Linked DNA regions of Oryctolagus cuniculus. The protein of the gene in region 1 interacts with the protein of each later gene in a biochemical or structural test. Links are inferred from orthologs where the notes say so. Each region holds a gene or a part of one and is shown on either strand. Other genes may lie near its edges. The genes, in order: LGALS3BP, LGALS3 and LGALS1.

Region 1 (7,428 bases):
ATCGCCCTGTGGTCCCATTCCTCCCCTTGACTGACAGCTCCGGGCCGGGGCTGCAGCCCTGTCGTGTGACCACAGGGTCCCTGGTGCTGTGGGAGGAGCGTCCACGTGCTGTATTTGGAGGAGGCCTGGTGGGCCCCTGGATCAGCCCCAGACGGTCCTGGTCCGTCCTGCAGTGGGGCGGAAGTGGCGCTTCCTGCTGGCTTCAGGGTGGCCCCTGCCCCGTGTACCCCACGCCCCTGGAGCGCCCCCTTGTCCGTGCCACTCGGAGATGAGCGCAGAGGCCTGGCTGCGGCCATGGGCCGGGCGGGGGGACACGGAAGGCTCTGGGGCCGTCACAGCTCTGCTGGGTGGTGGGCTAAGCGGGGGGAGAGTCCCCGGGAAGCTGGCTGTGCAGGGGGAGGGAGGTGATGGGTGGGGCTGCCACCCCACGGGGCGCCCAGGGTGCGCGGTGTGCAGCGCGCTGCCGTGGCTGCGGTGGCCCGGGCCGGGGGAGCTCAGCCCCGCGTCCGCCGCCCGTGCCCGCCCAGGCTACCTCATCCACGAGTCGGCGTGCTGGAGCGACACGCTGCAGCGCTGGGTCTTCCTGCCCCGCCGGGCCAGCCACGAGCGCTACAGCGAGCAGGACGACGAGCGCAGGGGCACCAACCTCCTCCTGAGCGCCGCCCCCGACTTCAGCGACATCTCCGTCAGCCACGTGGGCCGCGTGGTCCCCACGCACGGCTTCTCGTCCTTCAAGTTCATCCCCAACACCGACGACCAGATCATCGTGGCCCTCAAGTCCGAGGAGGACAGCGGCAGAGTCGCCAGCTACGTCATGGCTTTCACGCTGGACGGCCGCTTCCTCCTGCCGGAGACCAAGATCGGGACCGTCAAGTACGAAGGGATCGAATTCATCTAAGGGAGAGGCCCGGGGCAGGCAGGGCTGGGCCGGCGCGGGCGGCATCCGACTCGGATCTGGTAAACGCCGGAGGGCTCGTCGGCTGCGTTGGGTTTGTTCCCCTCCCAGGGCTCCGAGGTTGGGCCTGCGTGAACGTCACCAAACCCAGAGAAGCAGCCCCGAGCTGGGGACGGGGCCTGAGGGCGGCTCTGCGCTGCCCCTGCTGGTGGACGTGGGTCACGGCAGGCATCGGGATTCTGGGGCTCTGGCTGACCTCTCTTTTCCCGCCCGGAGCCCCGCGCAGTGTGCGTGTGGTGCCCGACCAGGAAGAGCAAAGAGTGGGAGGTGGGCCAGGTGTGGGAGGGCCTGGCTCTGCGTGGAGGGCATGCCCACACGGCTGTGGGAGCCGGCCCGGGGCCCCTCCCAAGCCTCACAGGGCCCAAGCCAGGAGAGCCCCGTGGCTGCCGGCCCCTCCGAGGGGGCACAGCCCAGCCACGGGAGCCAAGTGAGCGCTCACGTTTCCCTGTGGCCGTTCCAAGCCCGGGCCGTCGGACACGAAGGTGAAAGGGCGCCCTTCTCAGCGCTGGCACGTGCGCCTCGCTCCACTCCGACGGACGCCTGAGGCTTTCATTCCCGACTCCGTGGGCTCGACCCTGGCTGCCGTGCGGCCCGGGCCCCTCCTCTGGACACTCTTGGCCCAGACTGCGGCTTGCGGTCCCCCCGCGGGGTCTGGGGCAGAGGTCAGGCGCTGCCTGAGCTGGGAAGGCCGTCTCCGTGCCACGCCGTGGCCTGGCTGCTGCTGGGCCGCTCCCTGCACGCCTCTTCCACCGAGACCCCAGGGCAGCCGCCAGCGCGGGAGCGGAGGCGCCGCGGCCCCAGGACCCAGCGTCCCCTGCGGGCCCTGTGACCACCACGCAGCCTGGCTCTGGAGGCCCCAGGGCGGGCCTGTTGTGTTTTGTAAACAATAAAGCCACAGAGGGGAACTGTGTTCTTCCTGCCTCCTGGTCTCCCTTGACTCTTCAGCGGGGTCTGCCCTGGGGAGCACCCAGCCTGGTGGAGTGGGAGGGGCTGGGGACGGGCTGCTCCCCCACGGGACACCTGTCAGGAAGGCCTTGGTCGCACAGGCCTGAGGCGGGAGGAGGCTGGCTCTGGGCACCCTGCAGCTCCGTGTAGAAGTCACTGCTCTGCCGGTCCACTTCCTCCCGCGTGGACCAGAGCGGTCTCAGCTTCCCGCCCGTGGCCCATCCAGGTGGGGGTCGGCGCCTCGCCGCGCGTGTGCCCAGGCCTCGAGGGCGGCTTGGGCGGAGTCTGACCCAAGCCTGCCTGGCGCTTGGCAGAGAGCCTTGGCCTTGGAGACAGAAGTGGCGGTGAGGGGTTCTGCCTCCAGCTGTGGCCGTCCAGGCCTGCGGGCCCCCGGGGGCTCAGATGAACCAAGCAGGGGAACAGCCACGGGTCCCACCCAGCGGCTCCCAGAGCTGCCACGTGCTGACAGGGCCCCTGCCTGCCCCCGCCCCCTGGGAGTGCGTGCAGCTCCAGGTGGTTCTGTTCGGGGCCCTCATCTGGGCCCATGGGACGCAGGAACAGAAGCCAGAGATAGGGGGCCAGCATTTTGGCTCAGCTGGTGAAGCCGCCACCCATGAGGCCGGCATCCCATGTGAGTGCCAGTTCGAGTCCCGGCTGCTCCACTTCTGATCCAGCTCTCTGCTGTGGCCTGGGAAAGCAGTGGAAGATGGCCCAATCCTGGGCCCCTGCACCCGCATAGGATACCGGAGAATGCTCCTGGCTCCTGCTTTAGATCAGCTCAGCTCTGGCCATTGTGGTCGTTTGGGGGAGTGAACCAATAGATGGAAGACCTCTGTCTCTCTCCCTCTCTGTCTCTCCCTCTTTGCCTTTCAAATAAATAAATCTTTTTAAGAAAAGAAACCAGAGGTGATGTTGATCGGGTCACTGGGCCGCTGGGCCCAGGACCTCACACCCAGCGTGGTGGCTCAGGGCGCCATCCCCTGAGAGGACGCTGCTCCCGCTGGGCTGTCTGGGCGCACAGCCCTCCCCGACACCATCCCTGCGGCCAAGGGCGCCCTGGGACCTCGCAGCTGGGGATGGAGGCGGGGGGGGGTGGTGTGTGCTGGGCGGGGCCATTCGTGTTCCCGTTAGGGGAGTGACCGCTCTGCAGTGTGGGTGGTCAGCCCAGCGTGGACAAGGCCAGGCCCTGGTGTCAGGTACTGGGGCAGCTCCAGCTCAGCCACGTGCCGGCCGCTTTCCTGGTCTCCCAGGGCTCAGGGCCCCCTGCCCGACTGCCTGCGGGGGTCAGTGCCCTGCAGCCTGGCGGGGTGTGGGCTGCCCACCCAGCCAGCAACGTGCTGGGCCCAACCCTGCCAGGACACAGCGCTGCCGTCTGCCCCAGGGCCTCTGCTCCGCTGTCCCAGGCTGGCCTTCGTGTTGTGGTCCTGCCCCTCGCTGTAGGTCTTGTTGTCAGAACTTGGGTGGCTGCCATCCCCACCCCCACAGCCAGAGCAGGAAGGAAGAGGGGGCCTGGCCAGCAGAGCTGCAGCCAACCCCAGCGGAGGCTGCAGTCAGGTGGTTTGTGGGAATCGAAAGTCGTCCCTGTTCCCTGGAGCACTTCCTGGGGCCGCCCCTCCACACTGCAGGCTGGGCCTCCAGCAGAGGCGGGAGCCTCCCGCACAGCCACCTGTGCCAGGCAGGTAAGCCCCTGTCTACGCAGGCAGCCAGCGTGGGCCACACTGCAGGCACCGGGCCTGGAGCAGGGCGCCCCGGGCTCCCGAGTCCAGGGACCACCCCCGCCGCGCCTGGGCCCGCAGGGCCTCTGTGTGTGGTTGTTCCCTGCACAGGGACCCGGCCGAGGCAGGAGGGGCCAGCGTTGAGCCCTCAGCCCTGTCTTGGGCCTGCGCGTCCCCGCCCGGGCCTGGCCCCAAGGCCTTGTTCTCACCTGCACGACAGCACCGCACGGAGGGCGGCGGCCACGTGCCAGGGCCTCGCGTGGCCCCCATGTCCGGGGCCCTGACTTCCTGTCCCCAAGGGAACAAAGCCGGCCCTGCAGCTCCCTGGGAAGTGGGGCAGGGACAGCAGGTGGCCCTGGCCCTCCTGCCCGTGAAGGGCGCGCGGAGCCCTTGGCTTCCCTGGACAGCAGCCCCTGCACGGTCGTTGGGGCCAGGACAGCTACTGTGCGAGGGGCCCTGGGTGACCACGTAGTGCGGGCAGCCACGCCGGGCCCCCCACAGACTGCTGCACTGGGTCCCAGCGCTCGCGCAGCAGTGAGGAGCCGGGCCTGCCTGGCGGGTGTCCAGGCCCCCGCTTGTAGCCAGTGCTGCTAGTGGCCACCGCGGGTGTCCCAGAGAAGCAAACGCTGGCTCTGCCGGGGGCAGCAGGGCGGGCGGGGACGGGGGTGGGAGGTGCCCTGGGGAGGACCCCACGGCCTCTCCCAGCCTGTGTGTCCTGGGGACCGGAGCCGAAGTCCACGTCGTCCCCCTCTGGCCTCCCCCCAAGGGGCTCTCAGACACGCCCGTCTCCCACGGAGCTGCAGGGAGAACCCGCCAGGCAGGGACTCCCTCCCCCTCCTCCCCGACCCGAGCCCAGCCTCTCTGGGGCCCGGATTTCACTCCTGTCGGAGCCCCTGCCCTGCCTCTCACCTCCCTTCCCCTCTGCCCGCCTTGGGTGCCTCTGGGGCTCTGCCGCGCCCTGGGCCCCCGGCTGCGCCTCCCCCTCCCTCGCCCCTGCCTCTGGCCCAGGCTCACTCTGCCTGCAGCCCAGGCACAGCCCCCCCCAGGCATCCATGGCACAGGTCGCCTTCTTGTTCATCATGGGGAGATCTCGGGGGGGGGTTGCGGGAGGGGGTCCCTGTGTGCCCCGCAGCGGAGTGGAGGACGGGTCGGGGTGCGGGCTCACGCCGCTTCCTTCTGCTGCAGGGTCAGGGCTCCAGGGAGGCCATGGCCCCCCCACGGCTCTTCTGGGTGTGGCTGCTGCTCGCCGGGACTCGAGGTGAGCTGAGCCCGGGAGGTGCCCAGGGCCGAAGTCCACGCGCCTGCTGCCGCCCTGCCCCGCGGGGTCAGGGTCGGGGTTGGGGTCGGGGTGGGCCCCTCCTCCGGAGAGCTGGGAGGTGCTGGCCAGGTCTCTCCTGCCTCAAGCCAGGCGGTACCCAATGAGGGTGGCTTGTGTCTTCCGGGGACCCCGGGTTCTGGCTTTGGGGGGATGGGGAGGGGACCCAGGAACTCTGTCCCCAGTGGGGATGGGGGCAAGCACATAGGCCGGTGGCGGGGGTGGTCGTGAGGCCAGCAGCCTCTGGACACAGGCCAGGCCTCCAAGGGTCCTGGACACCTCCCTCCCCCTCCCCCTCGCCAGTCCTGGAGCCCATGGACGCCCCTGCTCGGCTGCCCTCGAGGGCCCCCACCCAGTCCTCTCTGGGGTCCTGCCCCTCTTGTCCAGTGCTGGAGAGCACCGGTTCCTCGTCCGTGTCCCTGTCCCTGTCCTCAGCTCCGGCCACGCGGACCAGGGAGACAAGTCAGCCTCGCGGGCTGGGGGCGGGGTCTGCACGGGTGTCACCCAGCCAGGGTGGAGGGCGCTTTGACGTGAGGGACCGGCCAGCCTGACCGGGGAAGCCCTTACAACCGCCGCGCTGCTGGGTGGGCGCCGCGTCCAGCTGACCTTTGCCCTCTCCGCAGGCGAGAAGGACGGGGACATGCGGCTGGCCAACGGGGACGCAGCCAACGAGGGCCGCGTGGAGATCTTCTACAGGGGCCAGTGGGGGACCGTGTGCGACAACCTCTGGGACCTGACGGACGCCAGCGTCGTCTGCCGGGCCCTGGGGTTCCAGAATGCCACCGAGGCTCTGGGCAGAGCCGCCTTCGGGCCAGGTGGGGCTGCCCATGCCCAGCACTGAGACAGGCCCGCTGCAAGGCCTCTGGGCCTGTTCCCTCTGGCCGCTCCGTGCTGGGCCAGTCCCCTCTGGGCCTGATCCTGAACCGTTCCCTCCCGAGGAGAATCTGTGGGCAGGAAGTGCCCGCTCCCCGCTGACTGAGTCTGGAAAAAAAGGGGAAAAACCCAAATTCGCAGCGGCGGGGCCCACAGCGTGAGCCAAGCCCAGGTGTTGGCCGTAAGAGATCCAAACCCACGCTGGACCGGCACCGTGGAATAGCCCGGTCCGAGGCCTGCATACAGGGGACGCACGCTGCAGAGGCGCGGGAACCCCAAAAACCAGCCCCCCGTTTTCTGAAAAGTCTCCTCCAGGGCAGGTGTGTGGGTCCGTGGATCAAGCTGCATCCCAGCCCGAGTGCCGCCCCGCCCCCGTCCAGTCCAGCTTGCAGCAGGTGACGGCCCACGTACCCAGGTTCCTGCCACCCTGTGGGAGACGCAGTGGGCGCTCCTGGCCCTTCGGCCTGGCCCAGTCCCGGCTGTTGCTGCCATTTGGGGAACGAACGGGAGGTTTCTCCATCTCAAATAAATAATACTTGAGCATTTTTTCAAGTGAGCGACAGAGGGAGCTCCCGTTTGCTGGTTCCGTCCCCAAATGCCCGAAATCTCTGGGCCAGGGCTGGAGCCGGAGGCCAGGAGACAATCCAGGCTTCCGTGTGCGTAGCCCGAGCCATCGCTGCTGCCTGCACGGGCTGCGTTGACAAGCAGCTGCCGCCCCGGCCACGGGCCCGGCGCCTGCTCACGCCCCGGCCCTGTCCACTTTGCTGCGCCGACAGGAACAGGCCCCGTGATGCTGGACGAGGTCGTGTGCACAGGGACGGAGTCCTCGCTGGCAGAATGCAGGTCCCTGGGCTGGCTGAAGAGCAACTGCAGGCACGCGCAGGACGCGGGCGTGGTCTGCACCAACGGTGCGTGTGCGCCCTCCAGCCCGGGGCCCCGGGGTGCTGCCCACCCACAGCCCACGAGGGGCCGGGCGGTTGGGAACCGCACCTGCTCCACAGTCCCTCCCGGACGCCACGACGGCTGACGGTGGCGTCAGCTCGCGGTCTGAGACCACGACAGCTCTCGCACTTGCTGGGTCAGCACTGGGGCCTGTCCGTTTCCCGGGGCGCAGAGGCCAGGACAGCCAGCGATGCCCCCCAGGCCCCCCACCCCCGCTCTGATTGGCCCCCCGCGGCTCTGCATGCGTGAGCCCCGGGCAAAGGTCTGCCGTGGTTCGCTCCTCCCTCTGTTCCGATGATTGATTGACTGATGGCTGTGGGGCTTGGAGGTTGGCGCCACCCAATCCGCCCCCCGCCCCCCGCCCCCCGCCCCCGCAGCTGCTGCCTGGGCCTGGGGGCGCAGAGCTGGGCAGAGGGCCCAACACAGAGCTGCAGGAGGCAGCCGGGGCCTCAGCTGCCCTCACTGGCTGGGTGCGGAGTGGGGGTGGGGGGAGGCAGCCACGTCGGGTCTTCCGGGGTCAGAGTGCACCCAGGCGTGTCCCCCCCTCACGCTCTGGCTGGGTGCAGGGTGGGGGTGGGGGGAGGCAGCCACGCCCCCTCACGCTCGCCTCCTTCGGCCCCTGCAGAAACCAGAAGCACGCACACCCTCGACCTCTCCGGGGAGCTCTCAGATGCCCTGGGTCA
Region 2 (6,876 bases), on another chromosome or scaffold:
CAGGAAGGTGCAGGGGCCCAAGGACTTGGGCCATTTTCCACTGCTTTCCCAGACCATAGCAGAGAGCTGGATCGGAAGTGGAGCAGCCGGGATTCAAACTGGCACCCATTTGGGATATCATAGGAGGAGGAGGCTTAACCTCCTATGCCACAGCTCCGGCCCCTAATGGAGCACCTTATGCAGCAAATGGTTGCCATGGAAATGACCTTTTAGGTCTTTACTGACCTGTCCATGTACACTCATGTAGGGGTGCATGAGCTCACTGACTTACACGGTGGCTCTCCGTCTCACATGGCTTTTGCCCCAGGGGATACCTGGCAATGTCTGAGGACATTCTGGGTTGTCACAAGTTTGAGAGTGACATGCTGCTGATACCCTAGGTTTAAAGCCACAGCTGTGGGGAATGAACCCTCTGTGACGCCCAGCACAGTGGCCGACCCGAACATCAGTGGCACAAGGCTGAGAAAGGGCTTCTACGCAATGGGGACATTTAGCAAAGTCAGAATGCTTCTAGCATTATAGCTGGGTCTTTGCTGTGTTTCCCCAGCGATGCTCTCTGCCCACCTAGAAGTTCAAGGTTGCCTCCTGGTGTGCAAAGTGAGAGGCTTTATTTTCTTGGCCTAGGACATTTCATTCCTTTGCCTTTTCCATGACAGTTCCTCTCTCAGCTCCCTCCCATGGTAGCAGCGCAGTGTCTTGCTCAGTAGTGCAGCAGCCTTTGGGGAAAGGAGGCGCAAGCAGAGGAGCGGCCGGCTGGGGCTTTAGAAGGTCAAGTTCTGTAGCAAATACAGCGAATGGGTGGTGGAGCGAGCCCTGGGCGTCACGGTAACTTCCTTGTTAAGCTCACAGCAAGCAAGGGGGTCAAGGTCGTAACCTGGCTGCTTCCCTAAGGTCTAAAAATGAGATGTGCAAAAAACATTCACGCGCAATGTGTGGTTGTGAATACACAACAGGGAGATAGGATAAAATATCCAGTGTGTGTAAATGAATCACATGCTAAGTCCTAGGAGGGGCTTTATGTAATGTTTTATATTTGTAGGGCCTATCAAGTCATAATTTATTCTATCTCTTGGGGACAGTGTCATTTCCTAAAAGGACTGAGTAAATATCACCAGCGAACAAATCAAGGGACATGAGTCTCTGATTGGGTCAAGGTCCAGGGAACTTTGGCCACAGCACAATCTTGGGTTTAGAAAGAACTCACCCAGGACTCTGGGGGCAAAGTGCCCTCCTCCCTGCACTACCTGGGCCCTTGCAGCAGGAGCAGGGACAAGGGGACTTCAAAAAGTTCGTGGAAAATGGAATTCAAAGATAGCTTTATTTTGATGCAAAAAGTTTTGAGGTCCATGCATAGCTTTTGCATCATGCACATTTCCATGGACTTTTTGAAGATCCTCCCTCATATAGAGAGAGCACCTCGTGCTCTGGGAGGCTTGGCACAGGGGAGGGAGCAGCAGAGGGCAGAAATGATGTCTCAGCAGCAGTCCTCATGGCAGCTTCGGGCAGGACAACCCTCTTGCTTAGCTCCTACCCTCCCGTATTTCCCGTCACATTGGCTGACTTTTCCACCTTGGTTTGTTACACTGCCCGAGATTTTATTTGGAATAATAAGTACCTTTAAAAAAAAAAAAGGCACATCCAAATTGCACTTGGCTGTCATGGTTTCTTTCCAACACCACCTTGCCTTTTCCTCCTAGAAGGAAGCCCTCTGGGCTTGAATTCCCACCGCACCTGCTAATGGCCCTGATCTCTCAGTATTTCACGTTTCCACCTGAGTGGCCCTGTTGGCCTGTGAGTCCTCGCACCATCCTGATCGTAGCCTTCTCCTCGTCACACTCAGATAGCAGCCTGCACAGTGACTGGCCCAGGGCAGCACCACGGTGTGCAGCAAACAGGAACCTCTGGAGGTCATTGTCTTGGGTGTCTCAGTAGGAATCCACCCACACTGCAATTCTCCTAGAGCCCTGAAGGCGGCGTGCGAAGCAGGTGATCTTAACACACTAGAACCCTTTGGAAGGAGGGCCCGGAAGATGGCAGGAAGCAAGGTGACGGCGCCCGAGCGAAGCCACCGCTGTGTGCACTGTTCCCCTGGCAAAGGGGCAGACATGTTCCTCCTCCTTCCTTCTCCCTCTGTGCCTTTGACCTGTCACCCTCACGAGTCAGAAGGCGAGCCAGGGTGGCCCAGGTTGCCGTTTAGGAGTTAAATAGGGTTCCACAATCCTGCTGGCCCGGTGAGATGTTTCTGGCTCCTTGCCTGTGGATTGACTGCAGCTGTGCACATTGAAGGACCTCCGTGAGCTGCTTTAGGGTCAAATGCTCACCTGTCTTTTTTGTTTCCCTTGCAGGAAAATGGCGGATGGTTTTTCGGTGAGTGTCTTGTGTCTGTTTTCTTACCCTAACACCCATTTCCCATAGCCGCCACCAGACTCTTCCCCTTGGTCTCCCACCACGTGGCTGCCTCTGGGCCTGCTTTGGCCAGTGAGGGTGTCTAAGGTTCTGGAAGAAAAGCCAGGCAGAGAGAGGCCTGAGACTCACCAAGAGCAGCCCTTTCCCCGCAAAGGCCCAGGACAGAACAGGGCGGGTCCTGCTGGCCGGGGGACGTGGGGCGGGTGGTGTTTGCAGCCGCTCTTCTGCTGTTGATGACAAAGCCAGGGCTTGTCCGGGAGGAGCCAGCTCCTGACTTGAGTGCATCACCCAAATGCAGCCCTCCGTGCTCTGGGAGGCAAGCAGAAAGTGGAAAACACCATCCCATCAGCTGATTGTAGTTTGGGGAACTCAAAAGTATTAATAGGTGGGAAAAATGTATTGCTGGGAGTTTACCTTCTTCCACTTGTTACACCACATTTTTTTGTTTTCCAGAGAACTCTGTTTGTGTCTTTTTCCTGCCCTGCCATTGTTTATGTCTTTCTTTCCAGCTCAACGATGCCCTATCTGGGTCTGGACACCCCCCAAACCAAGGATGGCCTGGCCCATGGGGGAACCAGCCTGCTGGGCCAGGGGGCTACCCAGGGGCAGCCTATCCTGGGGCCTACCCTGGACATGCACCTGGAGCTTATCCCGGGCAAGCGCCTCCTGGCCCCTACCCTGGCCCAGGAGCACATGGAGCCTACCCTGGGCAGCCAGGTGGTCCTGGGGCCTACCCGTCTCCTGGACAGCCAAGTGGTGCTGGAGCTTACCCTGGCGCCAGCCCTTACAGCGCCTCTGCTGGACCACTGGTAAGGTGGAATTAGTCATTTCGTGTACTTGCTGAAGCGTTGTCTGCGGGCTTAGAGCCACAGCTGGGTGTTGGTGCAGTAGAGATCACTGCTCAGGGTGCATTTACTGTGTGTTCTGCACGCACAATGATGCGTGACGCACGTTTGATGGCATTGCCAGAGTTTTCCTATCAACCAAGTGAAGCGCGTAGTCACTACGAATAAGCTTGGTGGTTATTACGAATAAACCTGTGTGAGTACCTAGCATGTGCAGCAGCAGGTGTTAGGATGCTGTTGTTACCCTCGGCTTCCACCTGAGCAAACAGGTTGGGGGGACGCTCTTGGAGACGTATTCCAAAAGCTCATGGTAGTTGTGTGTTGGGGGGAAAAAACTATACATGGATTTCAAAGCTTTCAAGTACCGAAATAAATGTATCTTTTCATCCCATTTTCCCATGAGCTCTTTCAAGTCCCCTTGCTAACCGGCCCAGGGTCATTGTAGGAATGTGTGGGAAAGCCCAGGCAATCTGGTTGACAAACACTGCTGAAGATAATGTGGTGGCCCAAGGGTTGAATTTCCATTAAAAATACATTTGACAAGCGAATTCTAAACATAAAACACAGCTGAGGGGGCAGCGGGGTAGGGGGTGGTGGGGATCTGGAACATGGAAGTGTCAGAGCCTTCCCTTCCAGACCTGGAGTCTAGTCGGGAGGTACCGCATAAACACGAGGAAAGCACCGCACAACTTGCAGTAACGGGACCGGGCCTTGAGCCACATCGCGTGTTCTGTTTGTCCCAGCAAACACAGTTCTTAACTGCTGTGCACGTTCTCTCTTTCTTAGCCTGTGCCTTATGACCTGCCTCTGCCTGGAGGAGTCATGCCCCGCATGCTGATAACGATTGTGGGCACGGTGAAGCCCAATGCAAACAGGTAAAGAGGCAAAGCTAGCCAGCTGCATGCATTTGCTGCTGGGTTGTTTTATTTTTATGTAAAGTTTTATTTTTTTGAAATGTGAGGGGTGGAGGGAGAGAGAGATTTTCCATCTGCTAGTTCATTCCTCAAATGCCCACAGCAGTCAGGGCTGGGTCAGGCCAAAGTCAGTAGTTCAGCACTCTATCCAGATCTCCCAAGTGGGTGGCGGGGGCCCAAGCACTTGAGCTGCCCACCAGGATGCATTAGCGAGAAGCTGGGTCAGAAACGGAGTAGCTGATATGGGATGTGGATGTCTGGAGCAGTGGCTTGATCTGCTGTGCCAAAGTGGCCACGCCAGGCCTTGCTTTAAAGGCAGAACCTCAGCTGATTCTCGTGTTAGCTCGCTGGTGGCACGCTTGGAGAAACTCAGCAATCGGCTAGTTAGTCCTTTAACAGGGGACTTTGTGTTAACATCCAAGGACAGGAACAGGGTCAGAAAGTTAAAGCAGCACTTTCTTTGGTCCCACCTCCCATTATGGGATGTTCAACACTTCTATTACTGTGACTTTACAGCTTAGCAACAGGACACTGCCCATGAACTGCATGATCTCATTGTTTCTGTTAACCATGACAAAGCCCAGTATCCGATACTCTGGTTTTATGTACAGTTGCCCATAACAGGTATGGAAAGCACCCTGGCAAGGCAGTAGAGAGCGAATCATCATCTGTCATAAAATACAAAGTGTTCACAACCTGGTCCTAACCCTCTAGAAGGAAATCTTGAAGGATTTGCATGAGTGGAATCTGTAAAGAGGGTCTTACAGCTGAATGGGAATGGTATAACCAAAGACAGAGGCCAGAATAATGTAATACATATTGACTCACTGGCCTTTAGGTTTAGGGGAGTACATAGAATACTGGGCCTGGCATATTTCCAGTCTGAACCCATTCTGTTATGAACAAAATGTGCGCTTGATACAAATGTACAGCTTTAATCACTGTAGTAACTGTGGTCTTTGGTTTGAAACAGACTCGCTTTGGATTTCAAGAGAGGGAATGACGTTGCCTTCCACTTTAACCCCCGCTTCAATGAGAACAACAGGAGAGTCATTGTCTGCAACACAAAGGTGGATAACAACTGGGGAAGGGAAGAAAGGCAGACGACTTTCCCATTTGAAATTGGTAAACCATTCAAAGTAAGTAACTGCTGCTGCCATTCTGTTGGTAAAATGTATTTCTCATGGCGACTCGTGAGTCAGTGTACTTGACATGAAATTATTTTTAGCTTGTATTTATTTGATTCATTTTAAAGGCAGAGAGGGAGACACACAGAAAGAACGTGCTCCATCCATTGGTTCACCCCTTGAAAGCCCACAACAGCTTGCGCTGGGGCAGGCCAAAGTCAGGAAGAACCTGGAACCCACTTCAAGTGTGTGGCAGAGACCCAGCTACCTGAGCCATCATTGTTGCTTCCCAGGGTAGTGGAATTCGGAGCTGAGGTGGGACTTGAACCCAGAACCCCAGTATGGGATGCAGGTGTCCAAAGCAGCATCTTAACCCAATGTGCGAAACTCCTGCTTCCCACTGAGATGAATATTGACCACCTGTCCTGGGGCATCTAACCAGTCTGTCTCCTCACTACCATGCTGGGAACAGGCCAGGAGTGGCACACTCCCCAGTTCCTTTCAGTGGCCTTGTGATTATCACTGTCCCACCCCTCCGAGTTTATGTTTTTCTAGAAATAAAGTATATCATCTTTAATAAAAAAGTAGGATATCTATGGTACAGGTAAATTGAGACTTAGTTCCTTAAAAAACATAGTTGGCATGGCAACCAAAACAAAGCTTTAAAAAATTATAGATTGAATACGTATGCTTTATGGAAGATTTATAGATTTTTAAATTGACTGAGACATCTTCCCTCCCCATCCCCACCCTCACAGAGGTTGCAACCTGGTATCTCCTCGAGTATTTTCTGTTACCCACAACAATCTTTTTATTAAGTAGTGTTTCACCAAAACACATACTAGCTCCACAGCATTGGGCCTGGGTTGACTGCAGGGTGGCCGGCAGAACACACTGTGAGCTCCTAAGTGCAGGTACAGGGAGCTGCGTCTGCATTTTGTGGGCATCTTTCCTTCTCAGAGCACTGCCTGGACAGTATGTCATCATGTAGACATGTGCCCACTTAATCCTACAGATGAAACTTTGGAGGAAAGAAAACCTGCAAAAGCTTGTTTACTTCACTTTAAGTTTGTAATAACCATCATTATAAGTCTTTGCTTCCAATAAGGGTAATTTTCTTCAAAGAATACACATGTATAAAATTAGAGAAGATATTGCCAAATTGTGGCTTCCAAACAATGTGAGGATGAAAATTCACTAACTGTTCAAATAATGTGTTTTCTCTGCCCTGGTTTTTTTTATATATATATATATATATATATATAAACCAGGGCAGAGAAAACACATTATTTGAACAGTTAGTGAATATATATATATATTCACTATATATATATATTCACTATAATATATATATAAAAAACAACACTGGTTATTATTAATCTTTGTAACATTTGCAACTCTGTTAAGGGGTTCCTATTTTAGTGTTTTTGTAGGCTGTACAAAAACTTTTATTTACTGGAGAGTTAGAGAGAGAGATCTTCCATCTGCTGGTTCACTCCCCAAATAGCTGCAATGGTTCGGGCTGGGCCAGGCTGAAGTCAGGAGTCTGAAATTTCATCCCAGTCTCCCGACAGGGATGTAGGG
Region 3 (7,638 bases), on another chromosome or scaffold:
ATCTGTGTCTCTGTCTGTTCTGCTCTGTGTAACTCTTTCAAATAAATAAATCTTTAACAACCAAACCAAACCAGAAAATGTTACAAGGAGGAGACACTGTAGTTTTAAAATCAGATTGTAAAAGTAAAGATTAAGACTATTCAGGGGCCAGTGCTGTGACTTGGTGAGCTAAGCCTCCACCTGCAGAGCTGGCACCCAATATGGGCGCTGGTTCAAGTCTCGGCTGCTCCACTTCTGATCCAGCTCTCTGCTATGGCCTGGGACAGTAGTACATGATGGCCCAAGTCCTTGGGCCCCTGCACCCACATGAGAGACCTGGAAGAAGCTCCTGGCTCCTGGCTTCGGATTGGAGCAGCTCACACTGTTGCGGCCATTTATGGAGTGAACCAGTGGATGGAAGACCTCTCTCTCTCTCTCTCTCTCCCTCTCTCTCCCTCTCCTTTCTCTGTGCAACTCTGACTTTCAAATAAATCTTAAAAAAAAAAAACAGACTGTTTTCAGATATTTACTGACATATCTATATATATTATATATAAAGCTTATTTGTTAACAGAGGATGGTATCTTTGGTATTAATGCTTACTTTCTGGAAAATGCCATAAACAATATTTTCAAAATTGCAGGCGATCTTATCACACATGAACTTTTCTTGCGAGATCTGTTCCTCTCAAAGCCTCGGTGCCTTCCTCACACTTCCTGCCGCTTGCTGAAATCTTCAGGCACTTCTGCCCCACCTTTCCCTTCCAATCTCGGATGCACCAGGCATTCTCCTTAGGACAGAAAATTCTTACCAGCACTGCCCTTTCTTTATCCAAACATTTTCTTTTCTTAACCTCTTGCCAAGAGTACATTTTCATGCTTATAACTTTTTTTATTTTTATCTCCCTTATCTCCTGATTTCAACTTACATTTTGTAATGACTCTTGAAATTTCCGAATTGGGGCCAACATTGCAGTGTAACCGCCACCTGCAGCACCGGCATCCCGTATGGGCACCGGTTCGAGTCCTGGCTGCTCCACTTCCAATCCAGCTCTCTGCTGTGGCCTGGGAAGGTAGTGGAAGATGGTCCAAGTCCTTAGGCCCCTGCACCTGCGTGGGAGACCAGGAGGAAACACCTGGCTCCTGGCTTCAGAGCCGTTGCGGTCATTTGGGGAGTGAAATAGTGGATGGAAGACCTCTCTCTCTCTGTCTCTACCTCTCTCTGTAACTCTGTCTTTCAAATAAATAAAATAAATCTTAAAAAAAAAAAAAAAGACATCACGATTTCTCCTCTCCAGTTTACAGAAGGGGAGACTGAGGCAAGCCCAAAGGGACGCATCAGGATGTCCTAGGGGTGCCCAGGAGGGCCTCTCTGGGGACCCAGGTGCCACACAGTGCCGCCTCCTGCCAGCCTGGGCCCACCAGACAGGGGCACGGTGGTCCCTCCGTTTGGTGGCTAACACTTGCGGTACTGGACGCATTTTCTAGGTTGGGGGAAGGATGCAGGAGCAGTTCCCCCAGCCCTGAGGCCTGGTCCCCCTCTGCATCTCAGCTTCGGTGGCCAGACCCTGCCTGAAAAGCCCCCTTTCCCCCTTGGGCAGTGAGGGGACTCCCAGGGGAAGGCCTGGGGCTGGGCAGGCCACGCCCACCCCTGAGCGGACTGAGGTTTGGGGAGGCCAGAAAGGAAAGAGTGAAACCACTGCGGTTGGTTTTGGAGGGAGCTGCTTGTCTGGGAGGAGGGCGAAGGGGCTCCAGGCACAGCCCAGCCCTGCACACTCCTCTCCCAGGGGCACAAGGGCTGGGCTGGCCCGAGGGCAGGGCTGGGCGGCTGAGGGACTGGCCTTCAGTGAGTCACTGAGAGCCGCATCGTCCTCCCTCCGGCGCCAGCTGCTGCGGGCGGTGATGGTCGGATGGGGAAGGGGGTGCCCAGGATGGCTCCCTGGGGGTTCCCTCACCTTGCCCAGCGCTCCCTGCCCTCTGTGCACCTGCCTCCTGATGTGAGAGGAGCGCCCTCCCACCAGCCTCGCCTCTGCTGCTACAGGGATCTCTGCAGCCCCAGTCGGGCCTCAGCACTCACTATTCTAGAACCTTCTGTGGCTGCCCGGCACCTTGGACTGTGTCCAAGCCCTTCCTCTGGCCTGTGAAGCCTGTACAATCTGGATTCCCGGCCTAGTCCCCCAAGCCTCCCCCTGCAGGGCCACGTGCCCACTGCTGCTCCCACCCCTGCGCTCTCATTCCTGAGCTCCTGCGCACCTGCAGAGACCCACCTTCTCCACGGCCTGCGGCGTCTCCATCCCACCACAGGGCTTGCTGTGACTGTGCCGCTTCTTCTTCTTCTTCTTTTTTTTTTTTTCTTTTTGACAGGCAGAGTGGACAGTGAGAGAGAGAGAGAGACAGAGAGAAAGGTCTTCCTTTGCCGTTGGTTCACCCTCCAATGGCCGCCGCAGCCGGCGCACCGCGCTGATCCAATGGCAGGAGCCAGGTGCCTCTCCTGGTCTCCCATAGGGTGCAGGGCCCAAGCACCTGGGCCATCCTCCACTGCACTCCCGGGCCACAGCAGAGAGCTGGCCTGGAAGAGGGGCAACCGGGACAGAATCCGGCGCCCTGACCGGGACTAGAACCCGGTGTGCCGGCGCCGCAAGGCGGAGGATTAGCCTGTTGAGCTGCGGTGCCGGCCCGGTGCCGCTTCTTAATCAGGTTCCCGGTTGGTGTCCCCCAACCGTGGGCTCCTTGGGAACAGGGACAGTGAGGGAGTCGTCTCCGGAGGTCCTGAGGCCAGCCCAGGGCCAGGCATGTGGGAGCTACAGCGCAGAATAGCTGCTGAATGCACGGGCAAAGGGGGGAGTGAAGAGAGCAGACTGGGTGCCCAGAGCAGGGGCCCCAACCCCTCACGGCCGGGCCCACCGGGCTGCTCCCCAGGCCGGGCACCCTCAGGCAGAGCTGTCCGGCCGCGCACCTCCCAGAAGCACCGAGGCAGGAGCACCGGCTGGCAGGCTGGGGCCTGGCACCCCGCCCAGGCTTTTTTTAGACTCAGAGAAGAGCACAGCCCCACTTGTGGGGGGGCCCGGGCCTTGTGGTCCTGGGTCCCCATCCCTCTGCAGTGCCCACAGCCAGAGCCACGCCCTGACCCTGCCTGGGAGCAGCCCCCACCCCAGCCCAGCGCTGACTCCCTGGAGCCCCCTGCACACGCCCTCCCTCCCGCCCCTGCCTTCTCCAGACACGCGCTGGGCTCTGCCTGCTGGCCCCAGGCCCCCGTCCCATCAGCTCTTGGGCCCAGCTCAACTATTTTCCATTGGCTTCCCCCAGTCTCTGCCACAGCACAAATTTGGGGAGATTAGGGCGGGGCTGGAGGCAGAATAGGAGGTGGAGCTTGGGCCCCAGGGGCGTGGCTAAAAAGGGAGTTCCCCGCTCTGATTGGTACCCTTTGCTCCAGAACTGGCTTCAAAATTCCATGGACTCCACCCCTACCCCTGTTCTGACTTACAATTGGCTGAGCTGCCAGGGGGCGGGACTCAGACCAGGGTCCGGGTCACTTAAAAAAGGGTGAGAGCCATCAGGAGCCATCTCTCGGGCGGGGCCTTCCGGACAGCCGGTGCTGCAGTCTTGGGATCACCCATCGTCCCGCTTCAATCATGGCTGTGAGTGTGGGGCCCTCCTCCCAAAGTCCAGGGGAGAGTGTAGCGGAGCGGGGGCTGGGCTCTGGTCCCAGCTCTGTGGCCTTGGAGGACTGCCTTCTCTTTTCTGGGCCTCAGTGATCACATCTATAAAATGGGGGTGGGGACCATGGTCCCCCAAGGCCTTCTCTGGCTTAAGAATATTCTGGATCCTTTCAAGGTCTGACAGTTCTTCCTGCCAAGTCTGACTTTCTGTAGTTCTCTATGAAGTGGGAGTGGGAAGGGTGTGGCCGGGGCCAGGGCAGGGGGTGGGGGGTAGACTGGTGAGGCCCAGGCCACTGTTCCTCTCTTCCACCGCAAAGAGCCTCCTTCCCCTCCCCCCTGCAGCTGTCCCCAGTCACCCGACCAGCTCAGAATCCTCCTCTGCTCCAGAGACTTCTACAGAGTGGCCGGGACCTAAGAGAGGCTGCCCGGCTGGGGCCTTCCCTGGGTGAGGGGGGTGGGTGGTCCTGCCCAGCCTGGTCAGGTGGAGGCTGGGGGGGCCCCCACGTCACCCCGAGCTTGGAGGCCGAGGTGGGGAGGAGGCAGAAGCTTTCCCAGGCCCCCAGGGAAAGGGTTCTGATTGCTGGCAGAAGGAACCACTCACATCAGTTAACTCCCGCCCTCCTGCCCCCCGCGCCAGTGCCCGGCTGCCCGCAGTGGCTCGGCCGTGTTAACCCTGAGCCGGCCTGGCTGCAGCCCCGGCCTTGGCTGCTGTCCCTCCTGCACAGGGCCCTGGCCGCGCCTCTGTGGCCACCATGCCTCTGCAGACAGGGGCTGGAGAGGGTGGGGGTCGCTGCTGCAGCCTCAGGCCACTCCCTCTACATTCAGCGGGACCTACCCCACCAGGACCCCGCTCCTCTCCACCTTCTAAATGGGGTACAGAGCATAGCACCCTACCTCCCAGACCCCTTGTAACCCCAAATCCCCAAGCAGCATCTGGGTACAGATGCAAGCAGATCAGGCAGGGGATGGGGTCTTTCCCAGGTCCACAGGGAGACTCAGGGGCCAGAACTCACTGCTCTGCCCCACCCCCCAGGCTTCGTGCTGGTCTGCTCAGAGAAATCAAGCTGGGAAGGACCACCCTCACGCCCCCTACCACGGCAGCAGAGGCCACGGCCCCTAACGTGTCAGGGCGGCTTCTTGTCTCCGCAGGGTCTGGTGGCCAACAACCTGAAACTCCAGCCTGGGCAGAGCCTCCTGGTGCGTGGCGAGGTGGCCCCCAGCGCCAGTCGGTGAGGCTCGGAGGAGGGCGGCGGGCAGCAGGTGCAGGGCTCTGAGCTGAGGGTCCCGTCTGGGCGGGTACCGGGTTTGGGCGTGGCCGGCCAGAGCTTCGGCTCCTCCTGGCAGGGAGCGGGTTAACAGGCAGCTGCTGAGTGAGTCACTTCCTCCGCTGGGTCTGGCCCCTCCACCATTCTCCCCGAGTCTCTTAAATTAAAACAGCTGCAGACCTCCCGCCAGGCCCCGCCCCCTTCTCCCCACCCCGCAGCCAGCGTGGGGGCGGGGAGAGGGGATGAGGGGGCGTCCCCTCCGGCCTCCCAGAGGGCCCTCCTTCCTGCGGTGGCTGGCCGATGCTTCTGTCTTCTCTTGCCGCACGCCGTGTGACCCTGGACCCGTGAGCCATCTTCCGCCCTGAGCCTCGGTCCATCAGTAAGATGAGTGGGGGAGGTGCGGAGTGAGGAGGAAGTGAGTGCAGATGCTGTCGGGAGCCTCCGGTGTGAGTCGCCTCTGGTTCTTGCCCAGCGTGCAGAGGTGGGGCAGCATCATGCGTCCATTTGTCCCAGTGATTCTCTGCTGCTGTGTGGCGCTCTGTGCTGGGCGCCAGGGGTGACAGACAGGAACCTTCTGGAGGGGCTAGGACACAGTGTCTGCAGGAGTCGTGAGCTTTCAGCCCCGCAAGGCTCTAAGAGATGGGGCAGGCACTGTGGCGCAGTGGGTGGAGCCACCGCCCGTGATGCCAGCGCCCCATATGAGCGCCGGTTCGGGTCCTGACTTCTCCACTTCTGATCCCGTGCCCTGCTAATGCACCTGGCAAAGCAGCGGAGGATGGTCAAAAGTACCTGGGCCCCTGCCACGCAGGATGGAGTTCCTGGCTTTGGCCTGGCCAAGCCCGGGCTATTGCAGCCACTTGGGGAGTAAACCAGTGGATGGAAGATCTCTCTGTAACTCTGGCTTGCAAATAAATAAGTAGTTTTTTTTTCAAGGCCTTAAGACAGGGGCCAGAGTTGTGAAGCAGTGGGTGAAGCCATCGGCTGCGGCCCTGGCATCCCGTATGGGCACTGGTTCGAGTCCCAGCTGCTCCACTTCCGATCTGGCTCCCTGCTAATGGACTGGGAAAGCAGTGGAGGATGGCCCAAGTGCTTGGGGCCCTGCCGCCCATATGAGAGACCCAGAAAAAGCTCCTGGCTCCTGGCCCCAGCCATTGCGGCCATGTGGGGAGTTAATAATTGGATGGAAGATACCTCTGTGTGTGTGTGTCTCCCTCTCTCTCTGTAACTCTTTCAAATAAATATCTTAAAAAAAAAAAAAAAAGGTCAGTTTTCTGAGTGTGGGACTTTCTTTAAAAAAAAAAAAAAAGACCCTAGACAGCCTCCTGGGCAGCACCCACTGTACAGACGGAGAAACCGAGGCACAGCCTGTGAGGGGCCAGCTCCAGGTCACACAGGGCCAGAGAGAACACAGGATCAGTGAGCGTCCAGCTCGGCAGGCTCCGGGGGTACGAGGGGAGGGCTGCTCTGGGGGGGGGGCGGTGGAAGCCACGGCCTGCTGCAGTGCCTCAAGCCCTCCCCTCCCCCCAGCTTCATCGTGAACCTGGGCCAAGACATCGACAACCTGTGCCTGCACTTCAACCCCCGCTTCAACTCCCAAGGGGACACCAACACCATCGTGTGCAACAGCAAGGAGAAGGGCGTCTGGGGCGTGGAGCACCGCGAGAAGGCGTTTCCCTTCCAGCCGGGCAGCGTGGCCGAGGTGGGCGAGGGCTCTCCGGGGCGGGGCGGGGTGGGGGGCAGCCCCTCCCCTCTCTGAACCCCGCCCCCATCCGACCCCTCTCACTGCCCTCCCGCCCGCAGGTGACTTTCTCCTTTAACAAAGAGGATCTGCTCATCAAGCTCCCGGACGGGCACACGTTCAAGTTCCCCAACCGCCTCAACCTAGAGACCATCGACTACCTGCACACCAGTGACGACTTCAAGGTCAAGTGTATGACCATCGACTGACGCCTGCAGGCTCGCGGTTCTCAATAAAGGCAGCTGCCTCTGCACCCTGAACCCGCCTGTGCACACGCGCGCGCGTGTGTGTGTGTGTGTGTGTGTGTAAGGGGCATTCCCCCCACCCCGCGCCCAGCTGCCTCCTTCACTTTCAGTCACCCCCTCTGATACGTGGTACCCCTGGGCCACGTCAGAGGGGGCTCAGTGCTAACAGAGTGGGCCCCCTTCCCTGCCCTCACACTGCTCCCGGCCCAGTGGGCCCCAGCAAACAGCAGGTGCTCAAAAGATGCTCCCTAACAATGAAGCCAAGGAGGACAGAGGCCGAGGCAGCCTACTGCCCGCAGAGGGGACCAGGGCAGGCCAGAGCGAGGTGCAGGGAAGGAACCCGGGGCCTTGGGTCCGCTGCCTGTGCAAAGACCAGGGCAGAGGGGTGGGGCTGCCTGCTGGGTGGCCTGGTGCACATTTGCGCGCCTCTCTGAGCCTCGGTTTCTCACCAGCACACCAGCAGGGGTAACGTCCGTTCCCGTCACTGGGTGGCTGTGGATACTGAATGGGGTGTCTCATGAAGGCCAAGTTCAGTGCCCCAAGGGCCCGGTGCTGTGGGGTAGTGAGCTAAGCCTCCGCCTGCGGCACCAGCATCCCATGTAGGCCCCGGGTTATGTTCCGGCTGCTCCACTTCTGACCCAGCTGCCTGCGATGCACCTGGGAAAGCAGCGGAAGATGGCCCAAGTGCATGGGCCCCTGCACCCACGCGTGAGATCCAGAAGAAGCTCCTGGCTCCTGGCTTCGGCTGTTGTG

The links.
Region 2: the proteins of LGALS3BP (region 1) and LGALS3 form a complex in vitro, tested with the Homo sapiens proteins (4 studies listed by BioGRID). The link is inferred for Oryctolagus cuniculus from reciprocal best matches to the Homo sapiens genes LGALS3BP and LGALS3.
Region 3: the proteins of LGALS3BP (region 1) and LGALS1 form a complex in vitro, tested with the Homo sapiens proteins (2 studies listed by BioGRID). The link is inferred for Oryctolagus cuniculus from reciprocal best matches to the Homo sapiens genes LGALS3BP and LGALS1.

The regions. Positions count from the first base shown.
Region 1 is NC_091448.1:2,761,429-2,768,856, forward strand, and holds the start of LGALS3BP (galectin-3-binding protein), read left to right. Parts: upstream 1-3,425; 5' UTR 3,426-3,579; intron 3,580-4,800; 5' UTR 4,801-4,821; coding exon 4,822-4,873; intron 4,874-5,553; coding exon 5,554-5,745; intron 5,746-6,579; coding exon 6,580-6,711; intron 6,712-7,370; coding exon 7,371-7,428. Other genes in the region: CANT1 (soluble calcium-activated nucleotidase 1), read left to right, coding at 528-898.
Region 2 is NC_091443.1:21,357,924-21,364,799, reverse strand, and holds part of LGALS3 (galectin-3), read left to right. Parts: intron 1-2,345; 5' UTR 2,346-2,349; coding exon 2,350-2,367; intron 2,368-2,915; coding exon 2,916-3,215; intron 3,216-4,037; coding exon 4,038-4,126; intron 4,127-5,138; coding exon 5,139-5,304; intron 5,305-6,876. UniProt on the Homo sapiens protein: Galactose-specific lectin which binds IgE. May mediate with the alpha-3, beta-1 integrin the stimulation by CSPG4 of endothelial cells migration.
Region 3 is NC_091442.1:114,553,626-114,561,263, forward strand, and holds LGALS1 (galectin-1), read left to right. Parts: upstream 1-3,325; 5' UTR 3,326-3,610; coding exon 3,611-3,616; intron 3,617-4,786; coding exon 4,787-4,866; intron 4,867-6,429; coding exon 6,430-6,601; intron 6,602-6,702; coding exon 6,703-6,849; 3' UTR 6,850-6,900; downstream 6,901-7,638. UniProt on the Homo sapiens protein: Lectin that binds beta-galactoside and a wide array of complex carbohydrates. Plays a role in regulating apoptosis, cell proliferation and cell differentiation. Inhibits CD45 protein phosphatase activity and therefore the dephosphorylation of Lyn kinase.